3 linked regions of the Caenorhabditis elegans genome follow. The gene in region 1 interacts genetically with each later gene. Each region holds a gene or a part of one and is shown on either strand. Other genes may lie near its edges.

Evidence for each region. A genetic interaction does not mean that the proteins touch.
Region 2: of spn-4 (region 1) and unc-15, a change in one rescues a mutant of the other (synthetic rescue), as found in Caenorhabditis elegans (one study listed by BioGRID).
Region 3: of spn-4 (region 1) and C50D2.1, a change in one rescues a mutant of the other (synthetic rescue), as found in Caenorhabditis elegans (one study listed by BioGRID).

What each region holds. Positions count from the first base shown.
Region 1 is NC_003283.11:6,781,936-6,788,419, reverse strand, and holds spn-4 (RRM domain-containing protein), read left to right. Parts: upstream 1-3,516; 5' UTR 3,517-3,517; coding exon 3,518-3,567; intron 3,568-3,614; coding exon 3,615-3,719; intron 3,720-3,765; coding exon 3,766-3,828; intron 3,829-3,876; coding exon 3,877-4,592; intron 4,593-4,645; coding exon 4,646-4,767; 3' UTR 4,768-5,233; downstream 5,234-6,484. Other genes in the region: ZC404.2 (ABC transporter permease), read right to left, coding at 10-115, 163-257, 437-445; spe-39 (Spermatogenesis-defective protein 39), read right to left, coding at 840-1,052, 1,105-1,208, 1,259-1,421, 1,474-1,789, 1,845-1,981, 2,032-2,193, 2,245-2,452, 2,499-2,659 and 1 more; ZC404.15 (uncharacterized protein), read right to left, coding at 5,292-5,467, 5,559-5,741.
Region 2 is NC_003279.8:7,375,532-7,385,511, reverse strand, and holds unc-15 (Paramyosin), read left to right. Parts: upstream 1-2,314; 5' UTR 2,315-2,428; coding exon 2,429-2,545; intron 2,546-3,681; coding exon 3,682-3,738; intron 3,739-3,784; coding exon 3,785-3,871; intron 3,872-3,940; coding exon 3,941-4,051; intron 4,052-4,098; coding exon 4,099-4,154; intron 4,155-5,225; coding exon 5,226-5,445; intron 5,446-5,752; coding exon 5,753-5,857; intron 5,858-5,979; coding exon 5,980-6,911; intron 6,912-6,960; coding exon 6,961-7,090; intron 7,091-7,139; coding exon 7,140-7,916; intron 7,917-8,190; coding exon 8,191-8,217; 3' UTR 8,218-8,625; intron 8,626-8,690; 3' UTR 8,691-8,908; downstream 8,909-9,980. UniProt on the Caenorhabditis elegans protein: Structural component of the muscle thick filaments which is involved in assembly and organization of sarcomere myofilaments. Involved in ovulation.
Region 3 is NC_003280.10:109,060-116,626, forward strand, and holds C50D2.1 (Peptidase S1 domain-containing protein), read left to right. Parts: upstream 1-2,507; 5' UTR 2,508-2,627; coding exon 2,628-2,709; intron 2,710-3,358; coding exon 3,359-3,690; intron 3,691-3,743; coding exon 3,744-3,825; intron 3,826-3,872; coding exon 3,873-4,378; intron 4,379-4,429; coding exon 4,430-4,513; intron 4,514-4,567; coding exon 4,568-4,799; intron 4,800-4,857; coding exon 4,858-5,069; intron 5,070-5,114; coding exon 5,115-5,315; 3' UTR 5,316-5,401; downstream 5,402-7,567. Other genes in the region: C50D2.2 (Cationic amino acid transporter C-terminal domain-containing protein), read left to right, coding at 144-354, 408-658, 705-1,033, 1,090-1,462, 1,509-1,868, 1,926-2,171; K10B4.3 (Protein melted homolog), read right to left, coding at 5,409-5,633, 5,689-6,242, 6,292-6,415, 6,460-6,775, 6,827-7,326.

The DNA.
Region 1 (6,484 bases):
ATAATATCACTAGAATTTAACCGGATTAAGTGACCAGAAGATCAGGGTGGTAAACATTGCAGCCAACACAATGTAAATGAAGAGAAAATTCAGCGGTAGTTCTGTGGTGAGAAGTCTGAAAAAAATTCCGAATTTGAAATAAAATTTTGAAAAATTGCTCACCTTGAAACAGCGCCGGGCTTCTTTCGTCGTGGAGTTTTCGGTTTTCCACTCGAAATTGATGTTTTCTTAGAGCTGCTTGCAGTAGTCTTACTTGTCTGAAACAACAAATCTTTGAAATTGAGGTGCAAGCGCGCTCCATGGGTCAATTTGAATTTAGTGGTTTTCCGCCAATACCTAACGAGACCCATCTGTTGGGGGCGGAGCGTTTTCATTTTGACATGGAGCGCGTTTGTTTTCAAATCATTCTGATTATTCAAAAATAATTTTAACTTACCTTATTCATGATTTAGTCGAAATAAAATAAAAATAAAGGAAAAATAAAGCGTCGTGGAAATTTTTAAAAGTAAAAAAAAGTTTCACGGCGAATTTTTTAAAGAAATAAATAAAAGATAGAAAACAATAAATTTTATTTAAATAAATATCTATAACGACAAGTTTTTACATCTACAGAAAAAAAGAGAGAGCGAGGAACCAGTGAAAATGAATAATTCTTAATCATTTACAAGACTGAATAGTGAAATTATGTTATAGTATTAAGAAGTGAAATGATGCTCTATAATATGATAAGGATTGTGTATATTCTACAACTAACTATGCGTGAATGGAATTATGAAAGTGATGAGGGATGTGGTGAGGGTGAAAAAACATGTACAGTACATTGAAGCGAATTAATAAAATTACTTCCATTTTATCGACGGATTGTTGAGAGCCGCCACCGCTTTGAATGATTCCACAGAATTTGTTTTCAGAGATTTCGCGTATGAAGCCAGCGAGAGACGATCTCCTTTCTGTGTCAGACACTCGATGACCATTTCAGGAACATCAAATAGTAGTGCTAGGCGAAGACGTTCTTGTGCATCAGATTCGCCTTTCAGGATACGGTAGATGAACTGAAAATTTACACACATGAATAATAGGTATCTTGTTAAAACTATTCCTCACATCAGTCGGTGGAGATGGATGAGATCGTTTTACAATAGTCAGCAAATTGTGATTATTGATGGAAACTCCCCATTTACTGGTTGATTTTTTGCCTTTGAACACACCTGAAATTCAGTTAATTTAGATATTTTCTCAGCTAAAACCACAAAATTACTTTTAGCTGCACTGAACGTCATGGTGATAGTTTTCGGTTGAAGTAGCTTATCGATATCTGGCCAACGGCTTAGTCGAGTCAACGCTGAGACGATCGTTTGAGTGGCAAGTCGATCATTGAATCGGATCAATGTTTGAACTGATGGTAGAGAAGCTGCAGATGTCTGTAATACATCGATTATGAATGATTTTGCAACGTTCTGAAGAGTAATGTACCGGTGAATCGTCGTAATGGTACATCGCTGAATAATACAGTGACGATAGAGCAGGTAATCCAATTAGAGAGCTGGTTTTTGGAAACTTTCGGAAATGTTCTCCTTTATCTCCAGCATCCATTTTCTCCATTTGCAATTGGATTTCATAGTTTCTCATCAACGCTTCCATTTGTCGGGCTTCAAATTTCATTTCAGGAATTGAGAAGCTACCATGAAGCATGGTTCGGAGCAACGGGACTCGCTTGTCTGGATTTCGTTTGTATTTTCGCGTAGCTTCGAATTCAATGACAGATGCATGTTGATACTGACCAATGCTACTATAAAATGGGGAAATTGATTTCAACAAATTTTAATTTAGTTTTTATTAAATACCGTAAAAACTTGTTCATCTTGTCCCACTCGCCGGTGATCTGAAGATGTCGTGTGTAAACTCGGCATGCACTTTTCTGGCCATCCATTATTTTGCAGAATATGTTTTCCTTGAGAGTTCTCTCTAGAAAAATCACAATCTGTAAAGAAAGATAACTTTTTAAAAAATTAGTATCATAGCTGTTCGGACCTTGAAAATTGTATTATTGTCGTACGTGGCAACTGCTTGCTTCAAAAGTTGTGTCTTATCACGTAATGACCTATAGTAATCCAGTGTTACAGTATGCCCTTGAAGCATTCTCTTGATACTAGCCTCGATTGTAAGCGGCTGAAACCGTTCGTGGCGAAGAACCTAGAATCATAATTATCTTCAAAATTCTATATTAAAACTTTAATAGCTAACTTCGTGCTGATCTTTAAGTTTCCGATGTTCTTGTCTCAATCGATTATAATCCAAATCAAGACGTTGTGCTTCACTTGGTAAACTACTTGCACTTGCTTCAGAAACCACAGATGGAGCGGTCTGAATAACTGGCGCCACGTTAACGTTCTCAGCGAATTTCATGTTCAAGAAATCATCTACAATCTTGCCAGAAGCCCGAGGAGAGGTACTGCAAATTACTTATTTATATTCATAAAACAATGTAATTAACTTACTCTGTTATTCGAATATTCGCCTTGTCTGACACAGCAGCAGCTCTTCCGTCAATTTGCAGTGGAACATTTGTGGGAGTTGGCGTTGGGTTCTGCGGTCGGACGTACGGCTTCGGAGTCTCATCGCCACCGAAGAGATTGTCGACGGCTGCTCGAGCTTGAAGCTTTAATTTTCGTGTTAAACACATTGATTTGAGCAATATAATAATTAAGAAACGTGTTAATTTACTTTTTTTTCAATTTTTTAAAAGTAAAACATCTGGTCACGTTTATAGTTTTAAAAGATTTTTTTCGTTTTTTCTTAATATAATAACTACGTTAAAACTTACTTGTTTTGATTGTAAATCATCAAACAATCCGGATGAATTCGAGTCAGATTCATTCCAATAACTGTCTTCCGGAAGTTCAAAAGTGAATTTCCTTCGAAGGGCCATTCTTTATAATATTATCATTTCTTTTGCAAAGTATCTGAAAGAAACTATAAGAATGAGAAAAAATAGATAAAATTTTATGGGAAAATGGGAAAAGAATTCAATAAAAAATAAATGCAGAGAAAAAAAACGCAATTGACATGAAACGAGAAAAAGAGAAGAAAGGCAACTGCGTGCACGCTCCTTGCAAAAACTGCGTGCCAGGATTGCGAAGGCGGGGCTTATGAATGAAGCGCGAGTTTGAATCAAATAAAATTATTTTTTGCTCTTGGCCTAAAGAAAATCGAATTAAAGCTTTAGTTTCTAGTAATTCGTAAAATAATTTTTTTAATCGAAAATAGAACACAAAATTGTCTAGTTATATTAACTTTTAGACCTGATCCGACGTTCGTATGAACTAGAAATCTAGAAGATCACAAAGGCGCGAAATTTTGATTTTAGATTTTTCTGTAACTCGGTGGCGGGAAAATGTGAAATTATATTTTCAATCGTTTTATCATCATTTGGAATCATTTCTGCACTTGTCTTCTGTTGTCTTGTCTTTTCTTTACCCAGTTCCTCATTTTTCTTTATTCAACTTTTTTTTTCAGAATGCAAAACACACAGATATTTACTAACTTCGCTCACAGAGCACATGATGGGTATGTTTATCATTTTTAAATGTTGGTATTAAGTATTTCTTTTTCAGATTACCGTTTAACAGTGCGAATCCTTCCAACAAAGATCCAATTTTCACAATGCCAATATCGGTCAAACCGAAAACTCGTGAGCCGGCTTCTTTCACAGATAACAGGTAAATTTGTCGTGCCGTTTTAATGAATTCATCAAAAAACTTTTAGGATATATGTCAGCAATATTCCCTTCTCGTTTCGTGAACAAGATTTGGCGGCAATGTTCTTCGCGTGAGTTTTCAATTTACAACAAGTTCTGAATAAGAATATTAATTTCAGATATGGAAGAGTCCTGAGTGTGGAAATCGTCACAAATGATCGTGGATCCAAAGGGTTCGGGTTTGTCACACTCGATTCCATCGAATCCTGTGAGAAAGCTCGTGCTGCGCTTCACGAATCACATGTTCAAGGAAGAATTATAGAAGTGAGAAGAGCGACACCAACCCGCAGAAAGCTTATCAACAATCCACAAAATGAAGTTTTGCCACCACCAAAGCTGTGTGTCGATCTTCGAGCCCCTCATAATTTATGGAGAGCTGAGCCAATGCATCAGTTGTTCAAGGAAAAGGAGAACACAACATGTTTTCCCGAAGCTGGATTCATGATGGCACCATACCGTAGCAATGGAATTTTCAACACGCGTAGTCTTGTGCAGACCAAACCACCTCGATGCACCAAGCACAGCGAGCTCAAGCTTTCTTCAGCTGGTGAATACTTCTGCAAAAACGGCGAGCCTACGACGGAAACAAGTATTCTGATGTGCATGCACAGACAAAACTCACCATGCAGCAATAAGTGTTCTGATTCTTCGAATCACGAGCTGTCTGATGTGGAGTTGAACTCTATATTCCCACATCATCTTCGTGACCAGATTACTGCTCTTCTCGACACTTCAAACCATTTTGGATCAGGAAATAATAGTGCTAACAAAGGAAAGAGAGCACCATCTGTGACATCTTCTGGATTGAGATCATCAGAGAGCGAGACAGTTTCAGGTAAATAGTTTAGATTCTAGATTGTCGATTTTCATTTAAAAATCAAATTTTAGACGAAGAGATTCATTGGTCCCCACATAACAGCCCTGATTATCTTCTCGCTGCTCTCTACGAAGGTTCCACATCGTTCCACGGAAAGTCTGTTTCTCCACCAAAAGAATCGTCAAGCCAGTAATCAGTTCAACTGATACGCCCATTTTATTTCTACTAACTGCGTGTTTTGCATTTTATCGAACACCCCTAAACTTTCACTTAACCAAAAAGCTTTAACAAATTTTTTACGGAATCTTCTTGTACAGCGACACTCGTTGTCCTTGTCAAATGATTCGTTGCTAGTTTTTCTTCCCTGTAGCTTCTATATCGACCCCCCCGGTGTTATTTTGTAGGAATGCGTTTCAGCATCTTCCCTATTTTGCCATCTCTCACATACACTCAACATTAGCAATCGGAAAACAGATCTTCTATATTGAAAATATACTACCAGTCCGTTTAACCTACCTCGCTTGCTAACATTATTGAATGTGCCCACGTATTGTATTTTCTGAGCATCTTTCTGTTTTTTTTGTATTTTATAGACGCTGTGTTCGCCAGTTATTTTTGCATTCCTGTATTGCTCGAAGTCAAATGAAGTGCTTCGCCATATTCAATTGTTTTATTTTCAAAATCACCCGTTAATACTAGATTTCAGTTTGAATTTAATCACAGTTGTGAAAGATCATTATCCCGGCGTGTCATTGAGAGATCAAATGTTATCTTTCGGCACCTCTTGGCCTTCCTCCATTCATGATCAGAAGATTCACTCTCTTCTAAAATGACGTCGTGAGAGACTGCGGGAAGAGAAAAGGACGATGGCTGTCGGCACTTTGTGGATGCTGCTGGAAAAGTTTGGTGAATTTTGAAGTTTTGTGGTTTTTGATGATAACTTCAAAATGGATGGGAAAACACGAGAGAGAGAGAGAAACTTACGGATTTGAAGAGTGGGTGGAGAGGAAGGGTACAAACTGCTTCGCTCCTCATCATTTCCTGTGCCACGTCGACTTCGATTTTGACGACTTGAAAGTGTTGCGAAGAAGGACATTCGACGGGATTTCGATCGTCGACAACCACCGCTTACCCAACAAAATAGGCACGAAACAGGAATGAAGATACCTGAAATAAATATGCATTATTAGGCAAACTTGGAATTTTCATAGTTTTTTCCTATAGATTTTGATTTTCTCTAAAATTCCCCAGCGCCTATATTACAGGAACACTATTTACATTTTGAGAATGCGAATTGCACAACATCTGACGCGCAAAATATCTCGTAGCGAAAACTACAGTAATTTTTTAAATGACTACTGTAGTGCTCGTGTCGATTTACGGGCTCAATTTTCGAAAATATTTTCTCGAACTTTGGCAGCGATTATCAATTAAAATTATTTACAATTCGAAAAAGCGAAGCAAAATTGAAACCCGCTGTCCAAATTCGAAAAGAAAACATTTTCGAAAATCGACACGAGCACTACAGTAGTCATTTAAAAAAATTACTGTAGTTTTCGCTACGAGATATTTTGCTCAATACGCATTCTTGAAATTCAGTGTTCTCGTAATATCATATAGGAATGGCCCCTTAACACACTAAAACAAGAATCCCGACATGTAATTTGTCACCATCTTCGTTTTCTTCCCAAAAACAATATAGTTATTTTCTTTCCATATTTTTTGACGTCAACTTTCAAAATAGGCAATTATTTTCACCCAATCTCTTTCAGCACACCGCGGATTATGCATCTCTTTGCCTGCTTTGCGTTCACCGCTTATTCATCAACATGAGAAGAGCTCAGTGACGAGTTAAAACAAACAAGAAACGAAGAGTTCCGTCTGCAATTACTCCCTTTACTCGTTTCACC
Region 2 (9,980 bases), on another chromosome or scaffold:
GCCAATACTTTAAAACAATAATGCGGGGCCGAAAAATGCTTCTTCATTCTTGCTCCTCGAGTAGCACAGAGAGAAAGATCCTCTGTGCTCCCGGACCCTTCTGCCATTTCAACGAAGGCACAAAAAGAAATGTGATAGAGAAGCATGTGTAGTAGAAGAAGAGTGTGAGATGTGGGCTTGTCACTGAAGAGTTCAGAGAGTGTACGGTGGCAAAAAAAGATATTGAGATGGCAGTGGAGACCGATGAGAGAGAATGGGCGGCTTCTGGAGGGAATTCTATTGAAGAGATTCTTTGTAATGATCACGAAAAAAATGGATGGACAAAAGATGGAAAGGTGACAAATATATAGCTATTAATCAAAATTGCATAACTTAAAAATATGCAAATATCTTTAAAAAATGTTGTTTTTAGATCTTCTCCTAATAAAAGGAATAGTGCTAAAAACAAAAAAGATAAAATGAAATACGGTCTACAAGTATATTTCACTTTAACATGTTTCACTGCATAAATCTGGAAGATATCAACAAATTAAAATGCTTTGATCTACCTTTGTTTTGGATAGTTGTCTACAAAATGATAAATCCAGTAGTTCCAAGTTTCTATCTTGAGAGAAAACTTACAGCATTATTAGCATATATTCTCGAAGTTATGTTAAAAATAATTTTAACAAGCGGCAGCACTGCTAGAAATCTTGTGGAAATCGTATGCAAGGTTTAACCAAAATCTGGCCTTACTAAAGTCTAACAAAAACTATTCAAAGGTATGTCCACTCTTTGTAAAAGTTAAATATAAATGGTCTACCGTTTTCTATTACATTTTATAAGTTTTTGTCACGTTTTGGAATGGAAATGTGCGACAATCGATATTTCCTCAGAAAGTTGTTAGCGGGGTAAAACCATCCTAGTTTTTGCAATCAATAAACATCAACTTACAATGTTCAAGATTTTTTCTTTATAATCAAATCTGAAATTAAGTTCAAACGAATGTCAGTACATTTCACCATCCCCTGCTTCTGCAACCAACTAATTATCTCGGTCATCACGATTTGTCAGCTGACACTGCTCAACAAGAGTATTTTGTTGTCTGGTTGATCAGTCGTAATGGAAGTAAAATTCTGAAAATTTAGAAAAGATTTTGAAATTTCACAACACTTATTTAAAAATGACATGAGTCACAAGAAGTAACGGGATTTGGAGTGAAAACGTTGATTTTTTGACGTCATGACACAATTTCAGTTTGAAAATCAGTTTATCAAGCCTATTTTTCATTAATGAAAAAACATTCGGAAGAGCCGATATATTGGAAATTGAATACCAAGTTATTATAGAAGTAATAAAAACTTGATTTCATCACAATTTGTTGTGATACGCTCCCCCACCCCCTCACACACGCACACACACACACATTCTCCGGGATACACTCAATTATTACACACTTCGCACTTATTTCTTCAGAATATGAGATCCAAGAACTTTTTAAAACATTGATCAGATCATATATGACAAGGCTATCAATTAAGGAAGTGTATTAATAGATATGGACAAGAAGAGAGCATAACTATCTGTAATTAAGGAATTTCAAATAGTTGACAACCGAGTTTTGGAATTCTTCAATATTTCGACTGTATAGACGTATTACCATTAATAGAAGACTTTTATAAATTTATGAAAATGGATCATCTAAAAGGTAACAGTATAGTTCTGAGAAACTTTAATGAAAATTGGAGACAACCCAGGCTTGAAGAGCCTGAATAAAGTAAGAGTTGATTACTGATAGGTGGAATGGCATTCGATTAATGGCAGTTCAGTCTCGCTTTTTCTGGTTTTGTGTTTCTTTTTTCTTAAGTGGTCTTCGTTTTACTATCCGTTCGTCAAAGTTCACACCTGCCCTTTCGGACATTCAAAAGGCACACACAAACACGAGTTGAAGTTTTTGGTGGATCCCGATGTTTTTTGTCTGTGCTCATCCCTTTTTGCTGAATTTCTTCCGTGTCGCCTCAACCCGAACCAAACCAATATCATTCGAATGTTTAAAACCTCCTGGCCCGCGGGTGCCTGATGCATCGTCTGCGCTTCGGCTCTCGGCGCGCTCTTCTCGAGATCGTATCCCGCCAACTCGTTGGCAAAAACACAATGGCATTTATCAGATACGCAGCGTAGAGTGGGAGGGTGGCTCAGTGCTAGGCAAGAAGGATTACACTGAGGCTCCTCTCTCGCTCCCTGCCGGGCACACTACCTTCGTAGAAGTTGATGATGAGAGATACTTGGAGACAGAGAGACGATCGACGACGCAACGGCGCGGGATGAGATATGTGTGTATGTGTCTTCCCGACGGCAGAGCCCCAACGCACAATCAGTCAGTCTCGAAGCAGCCAGCCAGCCAGCAGCACACACAGGGGCACCATCCATTTGAATACTCCATTTGATCATGTCATTGTATCGTTCGCCATCCGCTGCTCTTCTTAAGAGCCCGTCGCAAGCAGCGTTCGGTGCTCCATTTGGCAGCATGTCCGTCGCCGATCTTGGATCACTCACCAGACTCGAGGTAAATTTTTGAATGTTTTCTACCATTTCTGAACATTTCACTGCCAAAACCCCAAAACCCGTGTTCCATTTTTCATCGAATCGATGTTTCATTGACTGATATTTTGAATTATATCTGTAATTTAAATTTTAGTAAAAAAGGCATCTAATATAGCAACGAAGAATTGAAAAACTTGAAAAATCTCAAATTGTAGTTTTACAGTACTCCTCAGTCTCAAGAAAAATGTTTGTTTTGTCCCTAAATTGAATGATTGACAAATAACGGCGTTTTCAGTTTTGTAAATATTATTTTTCTGCATCAAAATGTATGGAATAAAACAATATTCCGAGCCAAAACACTATTTTCAGAAAAATTTTTAAACTTCCTAGTTTTCTCTATAATTAAACCTTTAGATTCCTTATTCTAAATCTTCATTTTGAAAAATCTGTTCATCATTCATCTCGGCAACTAGTTTCTTTGTGTAACTAAGATTTGCAACCTTTGTTTAACTTACTGCTTGCTTACATATATTTCCAAGAAAAAGTAGAACCCTAATTCTCAGATTTTCAAATATAGCACTTATAAAAAACAAAAATTACGCTTTTTTTCTTTGAAAAAACAATTATTTTTTGACCCCATATTTTCTCATGGTTCTAGCTACTGAATTTGCGATTATTGCCAATTGCCTGCAAAAACATTTTGTCAATTAAAATAAAAACAATTACCAAATCATTCGCTGGTCTATTTCCAAAAAATGCACTCTACGTCTCTCATATCTATAAGCTATTTTCACGTTTCTCTTATAATCTCCCACACTGTGTTGTAAAATTTCGAAGAAACCTAATGCATTATTTGTTAAGCTTAGATATCAATTCAAAAAAAAAACTAAATGGTAATATCGAATTGTATGCTACGAGTGTATTCTTGTCGTTTGATCTCAAGAAATTCCGGGACATTTAAATTTGTGACGTCAGGATGTTTATCTTCACAGTACTTTAAAAATATTCCCCACTCGGCACTAAATTTATAGGTCCGTGTAATAAGGTTCATCAAGAAGTTCAATCAGAATCGGAATCCATACTTTTTTTATCTGAATCAGTTCTTGAAACAATTAATTCTTCAAAGATTTTACAAATTAATACAGTTTCACTTTTCAGGACAAGATCCGTCTTCTCCAAGAGGATTTGGAATCAGAGCGCGAACTCCGCAACAGAGTGAGTTTTTACCTTTTATCTCTGATACCATGATTGCCATTTTCAGGTTGAACGTGAGCGTGCCGATCTCTCCGTTCAAGTTATTGCTTTGACTGACAGACTCGAGGATGCCGAGGGAACCACCGACAGCCAAGTGAGTTTCCAGTTTTTATGAATTTCAATTTAAAGAAACATCTTATACCTTTAAACATTATAATTACAGATCGAATCGAACCGCAAACGTGAGGGAGAACTCTCAAAGCTTCGCAAGCTCCTCGAGGAGTCTCAACTTGAATCCGAAGATGCCATGAATGTTCTCCGCAAAAAGCACCAGGTACAGTAATCTTTATGCTATAGCTTAAAGAATTCGTGAAATTTTAGGATTCCTGCCTCGACTACCAAGATCAGATCGAGCAACTCCAAAAGAAAAATGCCAAGTAAGTTATTATCTTTATTTTCTAAGTTTTTTTTCGTATTAGTACTTGTGCCTTCATTTTCTTCTTCTTCTTCTTCTATCTTCCCGCGTTGAAATGGCAGCGGAGGAGTTGGCGGCTCGGCAGAAGCTCTGAAGAAGAAGTATAAGAAGATGAAGAAGCATCAGCTCAAAGTGTGTAAAATAACAAACGTTTCTCGTGTGTGTGTGTTTGTTTCGCCTTCCAGGAAGAGATGAGAGAGATACAAGAATGTCTGCGTCTTACTGATCTTCTCAATATCTCTCACATTTCTCTCATTGATCTTGATGCTTGGCGAGCAATCTGCGTTCCCGTGAAACAGTGGTGGTGGTAAAAAATAATGAGATTAAGTTGGGATGAGAAGTTGAGATGAACGGGAAGGGGACAGCTTGAGAACTTGAATGACGAATGCATGAACATATTATAGAATATTTAAAAATGTAGTAAGGATCAAACATTATTTGTTTCATAACAAGGGGTTGCTAGCCTAGTCTTGCACCTCCTATCCTCTAGTTTTACAGCTCATATCTCGGTTATTTTTCATTTATGAACACATTTCAACAACAAAAATGCGTGAGAAATCCTGTATATTAATAGGAAAAATACTGTATTTTTCCCATTTAAATTACGATGGATTCATTTTATGATGTCTCTTTTTTTTGCTCAAATAACTTTCAATGAAATCAAGGAAAATCTTCCGTAATTTAAAACACATTTCTAGAATCTATGTTAATCTTTTAAACAATGTACATAGATGATCTATTCAGTTGTAAAATAAGTTTTAGTTGTTCCCTTCTTGCGTTCAAAAATCTTCGAGTTCAACTTTCCCATGAAAATAATTGTGTGCAACTCTTGACGTAATGTTTTTAAATCCAAAATTAGTTTATACTTTTCCACCCACTATCAATAGTTTCACCTGTCCAAACCGGCTGCTTTCTGACATCATTCATAGCCAAACATATTGTTGACACATCAAGAATTACTTGTTCGCCGCTGCTTGACTTTTTGTTAAATTCCAAATATCCTCCCATCCCACGCAATATCATCATCATTCAGGATCGACCGCGAACGCCAACGCGTCCAACACGAAGTCATCGAGTTGACCGCCACTATCGACCAGCTCCAGAAGGACAAACACACCGCTGAGAAGGCCGCTGAGCGCTTCGAAGCCCAAGCCAACGAACTTGCCAACAAGGTCGAGGACTTGAACAAGCACGTCAATGACCTCGCCCAACAACGTCAACGCCTTCAAGCTGAGAACAATGATCTTCTCAAGGTTTGTTTTTTGAAGTATCATGTGTATAATCTCTAGTTTTATCATCTTTATCACGTGCCACCGATCACTCTGCTCATCTTTCTACTTTTTTTTAGCAAAAAAATGCGGTAAAAAGAAAAAAAGAAACCCCTTTTAACAGGGGGTTTCTTTACTAAATTCTCTATTTTATCGCTACTATTTCCGCAGAGTGTGTGTGCAAATAGAGTACTCGAGATATTAGAAAGGAGGATGCTCTGTGAGCCTCATCGTTTTTTTGTCTCGTTCAGTGTGTTCTGTTAGCAGATCAGGGATCGTTAATGTTTTTCAGGAGGTTCACGACCAGAAGGTTCAACTCGATAACCTTCAACACGTCAAGTACACCCTCGCTCAACAGCTCGAGGAGGCCAGACGTCGTCTTGAGGATGCCGAGCGCGTAAGTCTACTAGTCCAAAGTGCCAAATTCAGAGGCGGAAATATCGGGTTTCTTCCTCTGACGCATTTCTGGACATTAAAAAAGCATAAACGTGCGAAGATCAAAGAACGTTGAAATTTCAGGAGCGCTCCCAACTTCAATCTCAACTCCACCAGGTTCAGCTCGAGCTCGACTCGGTCCGCACCGCTCTCGATGAGGAGTCGATTGCCCGTTCCGATGCTGAGCACAAGCTCAACCTTGCCAACACTGAGATCACCCAGTGGAAGAGCAAGTTCGATGCTGAGGTCGCCCTTCACCACGAAGAAGTTGAGGATCTCCGCAAGAAGATGCTCCAGAAGCAAGCTGAGTATGAAGAGCAAATCGAGATCATGCTCCAGAAGATTTCTCAACTCGAGAAGGCCAAGTCTCGTCTTCAATCTGAGGTCGAGGTTCTTATCGTTGATCTTGAGAAGGCCCAGAACACCATTGCTCTCTTGGAGCGTGCCAGAGAACAACTCGAGAGACAAGTTGGAGAACTCAAGGTCCGTATCGATGAGATCACTGTTGAACTCGAAGCTGCTCAACGCGAACTCCGTGCCGTCAATGCTGAGCTCCAGAAGATGAAGCATTTGTACGAGAAGGCTGTCGAACAGAAGGAGGCTCTTGCTCGCGAGAACAAGAAGCTCCACGACGAACTTCACGAAGCCAAGGAGGCTCTTGCCGACGCCAACCGCAAGCTCCACGAGCTCGACCTCGAGAACGCCCGTCTTGCCGGAGAAATCCGTGAGCTCCAGACTGCCCTCAAGGAGGCTGATGCTCAACGCCGTGACGCCGAAAACCGCGCTCAACGTGCCCTTGCTGAGCTCCAGGCTCTTCGCATCGAAATGGAACGTCGTCTCCAAGAGAAGGAAGAAGAGATGGAGGCTCTTCGCAAGAACCTTCAATTCGAAATCGACAGACTTATTGCCGCTTTGGCTGATGCCGAGGCCCGCATGAAGTCCGAGATCTCTAGACTGAAGAAGAAGTACCAGGCTGAGATCGCTGAGCTCGAGATGACTGTTGATAACCTTAACAGGTAAATACTAATTTTTTCAACATTCAACCCTTAAATTCATAAATTACAGAGCTAACATCGAAGCCCAGAAGACCATCAAAAAGCAATCGGAGCAACTCAAGATTCTCCAAGCCTCATTGGAGGATACTCAACGTCAGTTGCAACAAGTTTTGGACCAATATGCCCTCGCTCAACGCAAGGTGAGTTATCATTTTTGTGGTCTCTTAATTCATTTTTATATATGTTTAGGTCGCCGCTCTCTCTGCTGAACTCGAGGAATGCAAGACCGCTCTCGACAACGCTATCCGCGCCCGTAAGCAAGCCGAGGTTGACCTCGAGGAAGCCAATGGACGTATCTCCGACCTTATCTCCATCAACAACAACCTCACCTCCATCAAGAACAAACTCGAGACTGAGCTCTCCACCGCTCAAGCTGATTTGGATGAGGTCACCAAGGAACTCCACGCCGCTGATGAGCGCGCCAACCGTGCTCTTGCTGATGCTGCCCGTGCCGTTGAACAACTTCATGAGGAACAAGAACACTCGATGAAAATCGATGCCTTGAGAAAGTCTCTTGAGGAGCAAGTCAAGCAACTCCAAGTTCAAATTCAAGAAGCTGAGGCTGCCGCTCTTCTCGGAGGAAAGAGAGTCATCGCCAAGTTGGAGACCAGAATCCGTGATCTTGAGACCGCTCTTGATGAGGAAACCAGAAGACACAAGGAGACCCAGAATGCCTTGAGAAAGAAGGATCGCCGCATCAAGGAGGTTCAACAACTCGTTGATGAAGAGCACAAGAACTTCGTTATGGCTCAAGACACCGCTGATCGTCTTACCGAGAAGCTCAACATCCAGAAGAGACAACTTGCTGAGTCCGAGTCCGTAACAATGCAAAACCTCCAGAGAGTCCGCAGATACCAACACGAGCTCGAGGATGCTGAGGGCCGTGCCGATCAAGCCGAGTCCAGCCTTCACCTCATCCGTGCCAAGCATCGTTCATCTGTTGTCACCGGAAAGTCATCCTCCAAGGTATTTTAATTTTCTTTTTTTGTTGAAAATACTTTGATTTGTCAATACTTTAGATTTTATGTTAAACGCTCATAGTTAGAATAGACAAATACTTTAATCAAAAATGGTTCTAATTTCAATAAGAAAATTTCAAGAATTGTTTTTGTCTGTGTCGGAAAACAGAAATCCTGAGCAACTACTACTTATCATTTTATCTTTAAAAAAATTTGTTCCCAACACCTTAATTATTTTACGTCACTTGTTTTTCACATTTTTCGTTTGTTTTTTCTTGCAGATTTTCGTCACGGAAGACGATTATTAAACATCCCAAAAAGCGTCGCCATACATCAAATCATCAAATAAATTGCTAATAAGATGTGTATAATTGTTTTATTTTTCTTCTCTATTTCTTTCATGTTCTTCTTCTCTTTCTTTTTAAATTTTCAATTATTTCTCTCCCCAACAAATGCGCCCATCCGCTTTTTCTATCGTTCTTCCATCACTAAATCTTCTCGACTATCTTTTTGTTCTGTCCCACTGCCCCTCGTGCTTCTGACTGACTGTCCCCCAATCAATATTTCGAACAATTAGGTCAATCGAGCGACATCATTTCCCACCCACAATTCATGTTTTCCCATCAATTTTTAATACAAATTTATTCAATGTTCCATCCAAACCATCCCGAGTCCCTGGTTGCATAAGAAATCGTCGTCAATAAAAATTTTGATACAAATTAAGCCTGAAATTTCAAAGTAAAACAATAAAATCAAAGTCTTGACGAGATCGCTACCTGCAGATGAGATGATGCAATCGCAACCAGGATACGGTAGAAATTGTGGTATGCGCTGTTTTCTTCTCATATCCCATTACTTTCCTACTTCTCTTCAATTTTAATATTCAAAGTTTCGCCTAGATGATAATTTTTGTTGTTTTATCCAATCAGTTTTTATCATTCGGGCCACAAAACACCCCCGTTTCACAACAATAAAAAATGTTAAAAACAAATTAAAAAATATTTTATTTCAAACATTATTGCTCCAAGTCTGAAATTATTCCAGATGGAATCACATCCGAATAGACTTTAAAGTTAGAGAAGCGCCCGTGAGAGCTGTGATATTTGGTAATTTCAGTAGAATAAGATAATTTTTGGAAATTATGCCAAAAATCCAAAATGTCATTTTTCATGAAGAAGGTAATTTCTTTTTATTGTGAAATTCGCTCTGAAGCATTTTTGAATTGGTTCCATATTTTGAAAGCTTCAAAATGGTGTAAAAAATAAATAAGATGTATTTTCAAAGTTCACGATAATAACCCGCTTGACTACTTTCAAAAAAAATTGTTCTAAGAATACCGGAAAGTGTATGGAGTCTGGAAACTGAAAAACACTGAAATATAACATTTTGATTAGTACTTGAAAAATAGCAATAATTGAATATACATTTTAAATTAAAAGTGAACTCAATATCATATTTTCTAGGAATTCTTATTTTTATAGACACTTTTTATAGATTGTAAAACAATTTCAGAATCAATTTTATAAATTGTTTATTGTTTATAGCACATTGTTCCCATAGAGCACATTATTCAATTATTTTGTAATAATTGAGAAAGCTACATTTCAATTCGGTTACTCTCGATGTTCAGAAAAACAGAAATAAACTAATTGCGTAAATAATTCTATTTGGCCCGGTGCATTTAATAGATTAATCATTGAACAAAAGACCAAATAGAACTCAATTTCAAGTATTGTTTAAAAATTATGAAATGATCAATATAAAAATATCTTAAAAAAGGTAAATGCATTATTATTTTTCAAAAATTTCTTTTCAAATTTGCAATTACGTTTCATATTCCATGAGTTTTGGAAACATTTTTACTTTAGTAATTCTTCAAGAATCTCGAATTTTAATGTAGAATTTGGCTAATAACCAGGTATTCTTGGAAGTTCTCAAAATAATTCTCAATCAGCATCGTTAAACTTTTGCAATGAGCTCAAGATCTCAACCATAACATGGGAGGTACAAGGTTCAACATGTCACGTATATATTTGTTGTGTACGCACGTAATTTTGCAAGAAGGATGATG
Region 3 (7,567 bases), on another chromosome or scaffold:
TTTTACATAAAATTCATAAAATTTGGCGTTGAACTCAAAACTTTTACGATCGTTTCCTACTCTCCGCTTGCAACCTCAATTCAAACGCAACTTTTGATATTTCAGATAATTAGAAAACCAAAAGTTCAGGAACAAAAACAAAAATGTGCTTCTCGGCGCTTCGAGAACGTGTATTTCGTCTGAAAAACTTGCCGGCTGGTGAGATAGCAACCCCACTTCGAAGATGTCTGAGTACTTTTGACATTACTCTTCTTGGAGTTGGCCATATGATTGGCGCTGGAATTTATGTATTGACTGGGTCGGTTGTCAGAAACACTGCGGGACCATCAATTATTCTGTCTTTTTTGCTAGCAGGTAAGTAAACGGCGGCTTCAGTAAATTATTTCCATTTTTCAATATTTTTTAAGGTTTTGCATCTCTTCTCTCTGCTTTGTGTTATGCCGAGTTTGGAGCTAGGTTCCCAAAAGCTGGAAGTGCATACACATACACTTATGTTGGAGTTGGAGAGCTATGGGCTTTTGTTATTGGATGGAACATTATACTAGAGCACATGCTTGGAGCTGCTGCTGTCGCTAGATCATGGTCTGGATACTTGGATTCATTACTGGGAAATGTTATTTCAAATTCAACAATTGCTCGCACTGGGCACTTGCATGAAGTAAGCCAGTAAATGTTTTTATAAAATTTTGAATTCGAAATTCCAGGCTTCATCATTTTTCGGCGATTACCCTGATCTTCTCGCTTTTCTACTCATCGTTCTTGTGGCATTTTTTGTTGCTCTTGGTTCAAAAGTGTCCACTAACTTCAACTCTTTCCTAACAATTCTCAATATTGGAATTGTTGTCATAGTCGTGTTCTATGGTATAACGTTTGCTGATTTCTCTCTATGGAGTGGAGTAGATGAGAAAGGGAATTCGAGATTCTTTCCGTATGGAGTATCTGGAATGTTTGCTGGAGCTGCATCTTGCTTTTTTGCATACATTGGATTTGACGGACTTGCAACTGCTGGAGAAGAAGCTAAAGATCCTGCACGGTGAGATTAAAATTTATGTGAACTGAGTATGTGAAATCTTAGGTAATTTATTTTAGATCAATTCCAATTGCCACATTCTCCTCTATGACAATTGTCACACTCTCCTATGTTCTGATGTCAGCTTCCCTGACATTGATGATTCCATACAATATGGTTCATCCAACTGCAGCATTTTCTGATGCATTCACGATGCGTGGAGCAGAATTTGCAAGCTATGCGGTCTCGGTCGGTGCTCTTTTTGGAATGACAACTAGTTTGGTTGGAGGAATGTTTGCTCTTCCGAGATGTGTATTCTCAATGGCTGATGATGGACTTTTGTTCAGCTCCTTGGCATCCGTAAACCCAAAAACTCAAGTTCCAACTCAAGCTCTTCTTATTTTTGGATTCCTCACTGCAATCATTGCATTGCTTTTCGATATTACCACTTTGGTAAGCTGAAATACGTTTTAATATACTTTAAACAAAATATTTCAAGGTTGAATTCTTATCAATTGGAACTCTTCTTGCGTATTCTATTGTTTCTGCCTGTGTAATCGTACTTCGCTACCAACCAGCATATAATGTTGATGAGGGCCAATTCGACAATGGAGGAAAACTTCGATTCAGCATTCCATTCTGTGGCTTCCTTGATAAACTTCAGCCAGGACACTCGATTTATTATGGGATGAGCGTAATGATTGCTTCAATGTTCTTCTCAGGCCTTGGATTCAGTTCTGGATATTTATATGGAACTGTTCTCTGCCAAATATTCTTGCTAGTCAATATTGCTCTGATAATTCTCTCATTCCTCTTTATCTGCGCTCATTACCCCAATAATACTCCACTGGATTTCAAGGTATGATTGATAATTTACGCAGGAGATTTTTATGTATAATGTAAATATTCCTTTCAGGTACCTCTCGTTCCTCTTATTCCTGCCCTTTCACTCTTAATCAACACTTTGATGATGGTTCATCTTGCTTGGATCACATGGCTCCGGTTAGTTGTTTGGATGAGCATTGGTTTTGTTATCTATTTTGGATATGGAATTCATCATAGTAAAGAAGAAGTACAAGACGCTGAAAAGTTCTCGAAGAGCTCCACGTATGAGTCCGTGGTGTCTGGAGTAGTGGCTGGAGCTGGAACGACGTCTCCGTGATTATACCTTCTAAACTCATCAGTTCTGTAAATAAACCGCAGTCTCCTTTTTATATTAATTTATGTTTTCTTTAAATATCAAATCTCTCCAAATGAACACTGGTTCCTCTCGTTTGTACGCATTTCCTGTCTGTGCTTCCTAGTATTTTAGTTACTTTCATTTCTTAGTATTTTTGTTTCCTTGTTAATAAAAAACTTGTAAAATCTCAGTTTTCTAAAACAACCATAGTTACGCAATTATCAAATACATATTCATTACCCTTTCTTATCACTAGCCGCCTCGCAATTTTGCCCGATTTTATGGAAAACGAGACAAAAGGATAAGCCTCGAGGCAAGGGACTGGGCGGCGGATGACGCGAGAAATCTCGTTTTTCGAGTTTCCACCTTTTTGATGATGAAGACGTAATCCGAATCAGAAGGAGACACTGGCATTTTTTATTCTCACCGGGACACACAATGAGGAGGAACCTCGTGGATATTTTCTACATTTCCTTACTAATATTTATATCTGGTTTGGTTTTTTGCACAGATGCTTCGGGTAAATATTCTTAATATTTTTACTGTCAAAAAGTGGCAATTAATCAGTTTTTTGCTACTCATAATTTTGGAAGTCGACCAAACATTTTTTTCCCTGCATTTTTTATACTGTAATTTTGTTTTAAATATTTGTATTAAAACATTGTAGGGGTCGGAAAGTGCGATATTGCTTTGGATTTCCTCAAAACCTCTTTTTTTTTTCAAAATTTTGGCAATTTGCAAAAAACTTGATATTTGGATGTTTTGGATTATTATAAGTATATTTAGACAAAATCCCCACTGGCGCTACTTCACCTTCAATACATATTTTTTTAAATTTATTCATTCATAAACTGTTGAACATAATTGTAAGAGCATAATTTGATAATCGCGGGGAACTTTAAATGCGCACTGCACCTCTTGAAATCATTTGGGAGTAAGTTTTCCAGTCCCTTTTAATTTTGTTTTTTGTTGCAAGATTTATCAAAATTCGTGTGAGCTATAATAATAATTCAACTGCCCGTAGTACGGCTAGATGAATCATCTCAAAATTGAAGTCGGAAAACTAATCGGAAAATTCAAGTATAGCCTGCCTTATCTGTTAGCTTTATCATTTATACCGGGACAATTTTCATAAAACGCAATTCCTTATCACCAAACATCTTTTTCAGTTATCAATCGAAGATTACGTCGAGACACAGAAGCGCCCATTGCGCGTGGTTTCAATCGAGAAATTCGGCGAAAACCGCCTGCAATTCTTCAATTAATCGGTCCGTTGGCATTTGGAAGAAAAGATGGAGACGATGCAAAAATGCACGTGCCAATGTTAGGCCAATTTGGCGTTGGAGATGTTAGTCAAATGACCGCAAAGTTTACTCCGGAAGGATCTCAAGGTCAAAAAGCGAATGGAGGAACATTTGATATTGATGATGAAAAGGGACCTCAGTTAGGATATATGGATCGAGAGACAACCATGGGAGAAAGATCGGGCAGCACTGGAAAAGTAAGATCATGTGTTTAACAGGATTTTCAGAGTTTTAAAGTTTCTAATTTCAGATGTCTTTTGGAGGTCTAGGAAACATTGAGATGGGAAATATAAACGAGCAAGGAACTGGGCTTCTAGACTTTTCAAAATCTCGTAAGTCAAGTCAATTGTTTGAAATATATAATTACAACATTTTCAAGTTTTCCCGTTTCTACAACTTCCTGCTCTCAAAAACGAAACCGAAAACGTGAAAGAAGAACATACACAAGTTGATCAAACTTATACCGACTATTACTATCCGAAACCCAGATCTTACTTGGGATCTTCTTACGATATTAATCGCCCTCAAGTAGGCGCAGCAGAGTCATTAGTGTCGCTTGGAAAAAACCGAGAGGACATTGAGTTCCCGAAGCTAGTAACTCAAGAGCCACCGAAGAAGTACAGTAACCCATTTGACAGTGTTCAAATTCGTCCGAGAATTCACGCGGCTGTTACGAAGACAGTAGATGATAAAGATTTAAATTCAAAGGAAGGATTTATTGCTCAAAACGGAAAGCAAGTGGACCCGGATGAAGATACAGCGCCGCTTTTGACTGCTGAGCACAAAGTGTCGCAAGTGACAACTAGAAAGTCTATCCATGAAGTTGGTCTGTCCGTTAAAGAAATTTACGCACTTTGTGCAAAATTTGCACCAATGGCAAATCAGGTAAATGATAGAACACAATCAATTTTTACCACAAATTAAATTTTGTTTCAGCATTGCTACAAAAGTAAAGTCGAAGAACAATTCATTGAAAGATGCAGAGGATATCAAAAAGATTGCGTTGAATTTATAGCAAAAGTCAGTTGATTTGACAGATTTCTTAAAAATTATTCAACAATGTTAATTGTATAGGCTCGCCCACTTGGAGCAATTGCCAATTCTTTCTCTTCTGGAGTTGGTCTTACGTACTACGACTGGAATGTCAACGGAATCCCGTACTACCCTGTAAACGAGGAAGGTTCCATTGGAAACGGCCATCATGGAAAAGTAGATTTTGGAACGTGGGGAGGAGGATATTCTGATAATCTTGGTGTAAGAGATTTCTGGTCTCAAACCCAAGAATATGGAGCTAACTGGTACGAAGGTAGGATTTTACGGCTCAAAAAATTTTTTTATAATTTTAAGTTTTTTAACGATTTCAGGCCAGTATGGATACAAAACTGGATGGAGTATTCCAATTGTGCAGGGAATTGGAGTTGAAGGAGGTCAAGGAACGCAAGTCTCAGTGCCAATCAAAGAAGGAGAGCTCGGAAGACCGATTTCAGTGACTAATGGGTACCACGTCGGGCCATTTATGGGATTAGCAGATAGAGTTGGAGTTGATTGGCTCAACGGGGGAGTCTCGTGGAATAAGGTATGCAAAATCTTGGTAATTACAAAAACGCAGGGTTGTTTTCAGGGTTTCGCTGTCCCATTCGTTGGAGTTGGTGTGAATACCGGAACAGCTGTTGGGTTCCCTAGTGTCGGAATGATAATGAACAGGATGGGTATGGACGGAGTAGAAACTCTGAATAACATGGCAAGAGCAGCGGCTGCCCAGACGGCACAAGTGGCAGAACATAGATCTACCTCCATTGACATTGGAAATCTGTATCAATAATCTATCTTTAATCATTGAATTTCTGGAATCTCGTGCAATGTTTTCAACTAATAATTATTGTAAATAAAGTTTATAATATTAAAATCAGGTGAATTAAGCCAATTCCCTTCTTGCATGAGCCATTGCAATCTGTAGACAATGAAGCCATTCCTCCGCATTTTTTTCATCTTTGGCTTTCAGAATCATTGATGTATTGTCAGCTGTGAAAATTTCAAATGCCTTTCTTAGACTCTTTCTAGCTTTCTTTCCACGACCGAGCGATCTGACAGATCGGATAGAACGAAGATCGATTGAGGGAAGGAGTGCTCGGGAATCAGTCTGAAAAGTGACAGAAATGATGTATCAAAATTTCCGATTCCGGAAAAAAACGTACCGGCATATGTTGTGTGCTATAATTCAATGCAGCCGATGACAAGGTAAAGTATTTGGTGTTCCATCGTTTCAAAAACCTCCATCGCCCTTTTTTCTCTTTCAACTGTCCTTCCAATACTTTTTCGGCGCCTCCTTCTTCAACAAAGTATTTCACTTTTTCAGGATTCGTACAACTAATGCAATTCCACATATTATTCGTAGAGTCCATTGTAAAACAAGCGAAAAATCCAGCTTCGTCAAGTTCCTTAATCAGCTTGTTCTGGTCTTTTGAGTTTGGAAAAGCTGCAGTGATCATTGTATCAAAGGGAACACTTTTTGTTATAGAACTCGGTAAACACTTCCAACAATGTTCAAGCGTTTGGTACTGCTGTGAGTCCTTTCCGACAACTTCACCGAATTGGGTTATTGCCGAACATTCCATTTGCAGAAACATGAAATGAAGCCAAAATGCTGGATATTTAGTTTTAAATGCAAATAGGTATTCCTTGGTGAATACACAACATGGCGAAGAACGAGTTTGACACGAGAAGTGAATGACCATGCGGTGTTTGGAGTCTGGAATATCGGTTAATCGTCATTATGAATCAGCTATAACAACTCTTACTTTTTGAGCCTTCAACAGTGCATTGCACAGGAACTGGAAATCTTGCGTTCACTTCTCCAATATACCGACGAATTTTATTTTTTCGATGCTCAACAAACTTGTAGACAACATCATTACGATCATTCTTGAATTCCAAAATTAGGGGGTTTTCAAAAATAAAAAACTCACATTGATCCACTTCTCGTCTTCTTCATTCAAAGCACACATTTTTGAGGTGGTGATTGGGCCCAAATGAGCTGGAAATGTAGTTTCTGTGCTTCCAGCTGGCCATTGTACAGGTCGACGGCCTCCGCCAACAGGTCTCACTCGCCCATCTTTTCCCATTTGAATTTGAGTCATTGCCTGAGGAGCAAACGCGTGTGGAAGTGTTTGAATGCGAGAAGTAGAAGATGACGTTGGTTGTGCCAGTAGTACATTTGTTCGGGAACTTGATGGCATCGAGATCATTGAAAGTTCACGAGACTCGTTGATATCAGAATATGGTCTAAATTGTTTTTTTTTTCAGTGAAGACTATACCTGAATGAATACACTTACCCGTGAGTTCCAGCTCCTAGCGAATGAGCGATGCTAGCGTGACTCCGACGACTTAAGCTTCCACTTGACCGATTGTTCTGGTACTGCATTGCCAGTGAATGCGTATTCCTATCGAGCTCACACAATTCCACTGTTGGAGAGTCGCAAACTTCGAAAACAGTTCTTCCGCCACTAGTAATCAGGTTTCCAAATACTTTAGAATTCTTTGAAAGCAGCGACTCTGTTGATTGCTCTTTGATATCGTACGACATGATATTTTCACTATTGTTAGGATTTAGATGCGCCAAAATCCGTTCAATAATTCTACTCGTTGGAAGTGTTTGGAAGAACGATACATGTCTTCTAAGAGAAGTTGGATGAATTGATCCGATTGCATCAATTTCATTCAGAACTGTTTGGAGTATTTGCTGATCCGATGAGTTGTTTCGAGCCATTAGAACAAGCTCGTCGACTGCTTCAGAAGCAAGTGGGGAGGACACACGACCTATGTTTGCAATTATCTGTAAAGAAAGCAGGATACATTAAATAATATTATTTAATTTTTTTGAACATTTGACTTTTTAGACACAAGTACACTTCGTGTGTTTTTGCTGTTTGTGTTTAAAAAACCAAGAAAGATGGGACAAAGACTTCAAATGATCACAAGTCTAATCGTTATCTTAATTGAAAATAAATCCCTTTGGAATTGCAGTCAAATGCTCGCGCACAAATAAATGAGTGGCTAGTCATTCGAATTCTCAC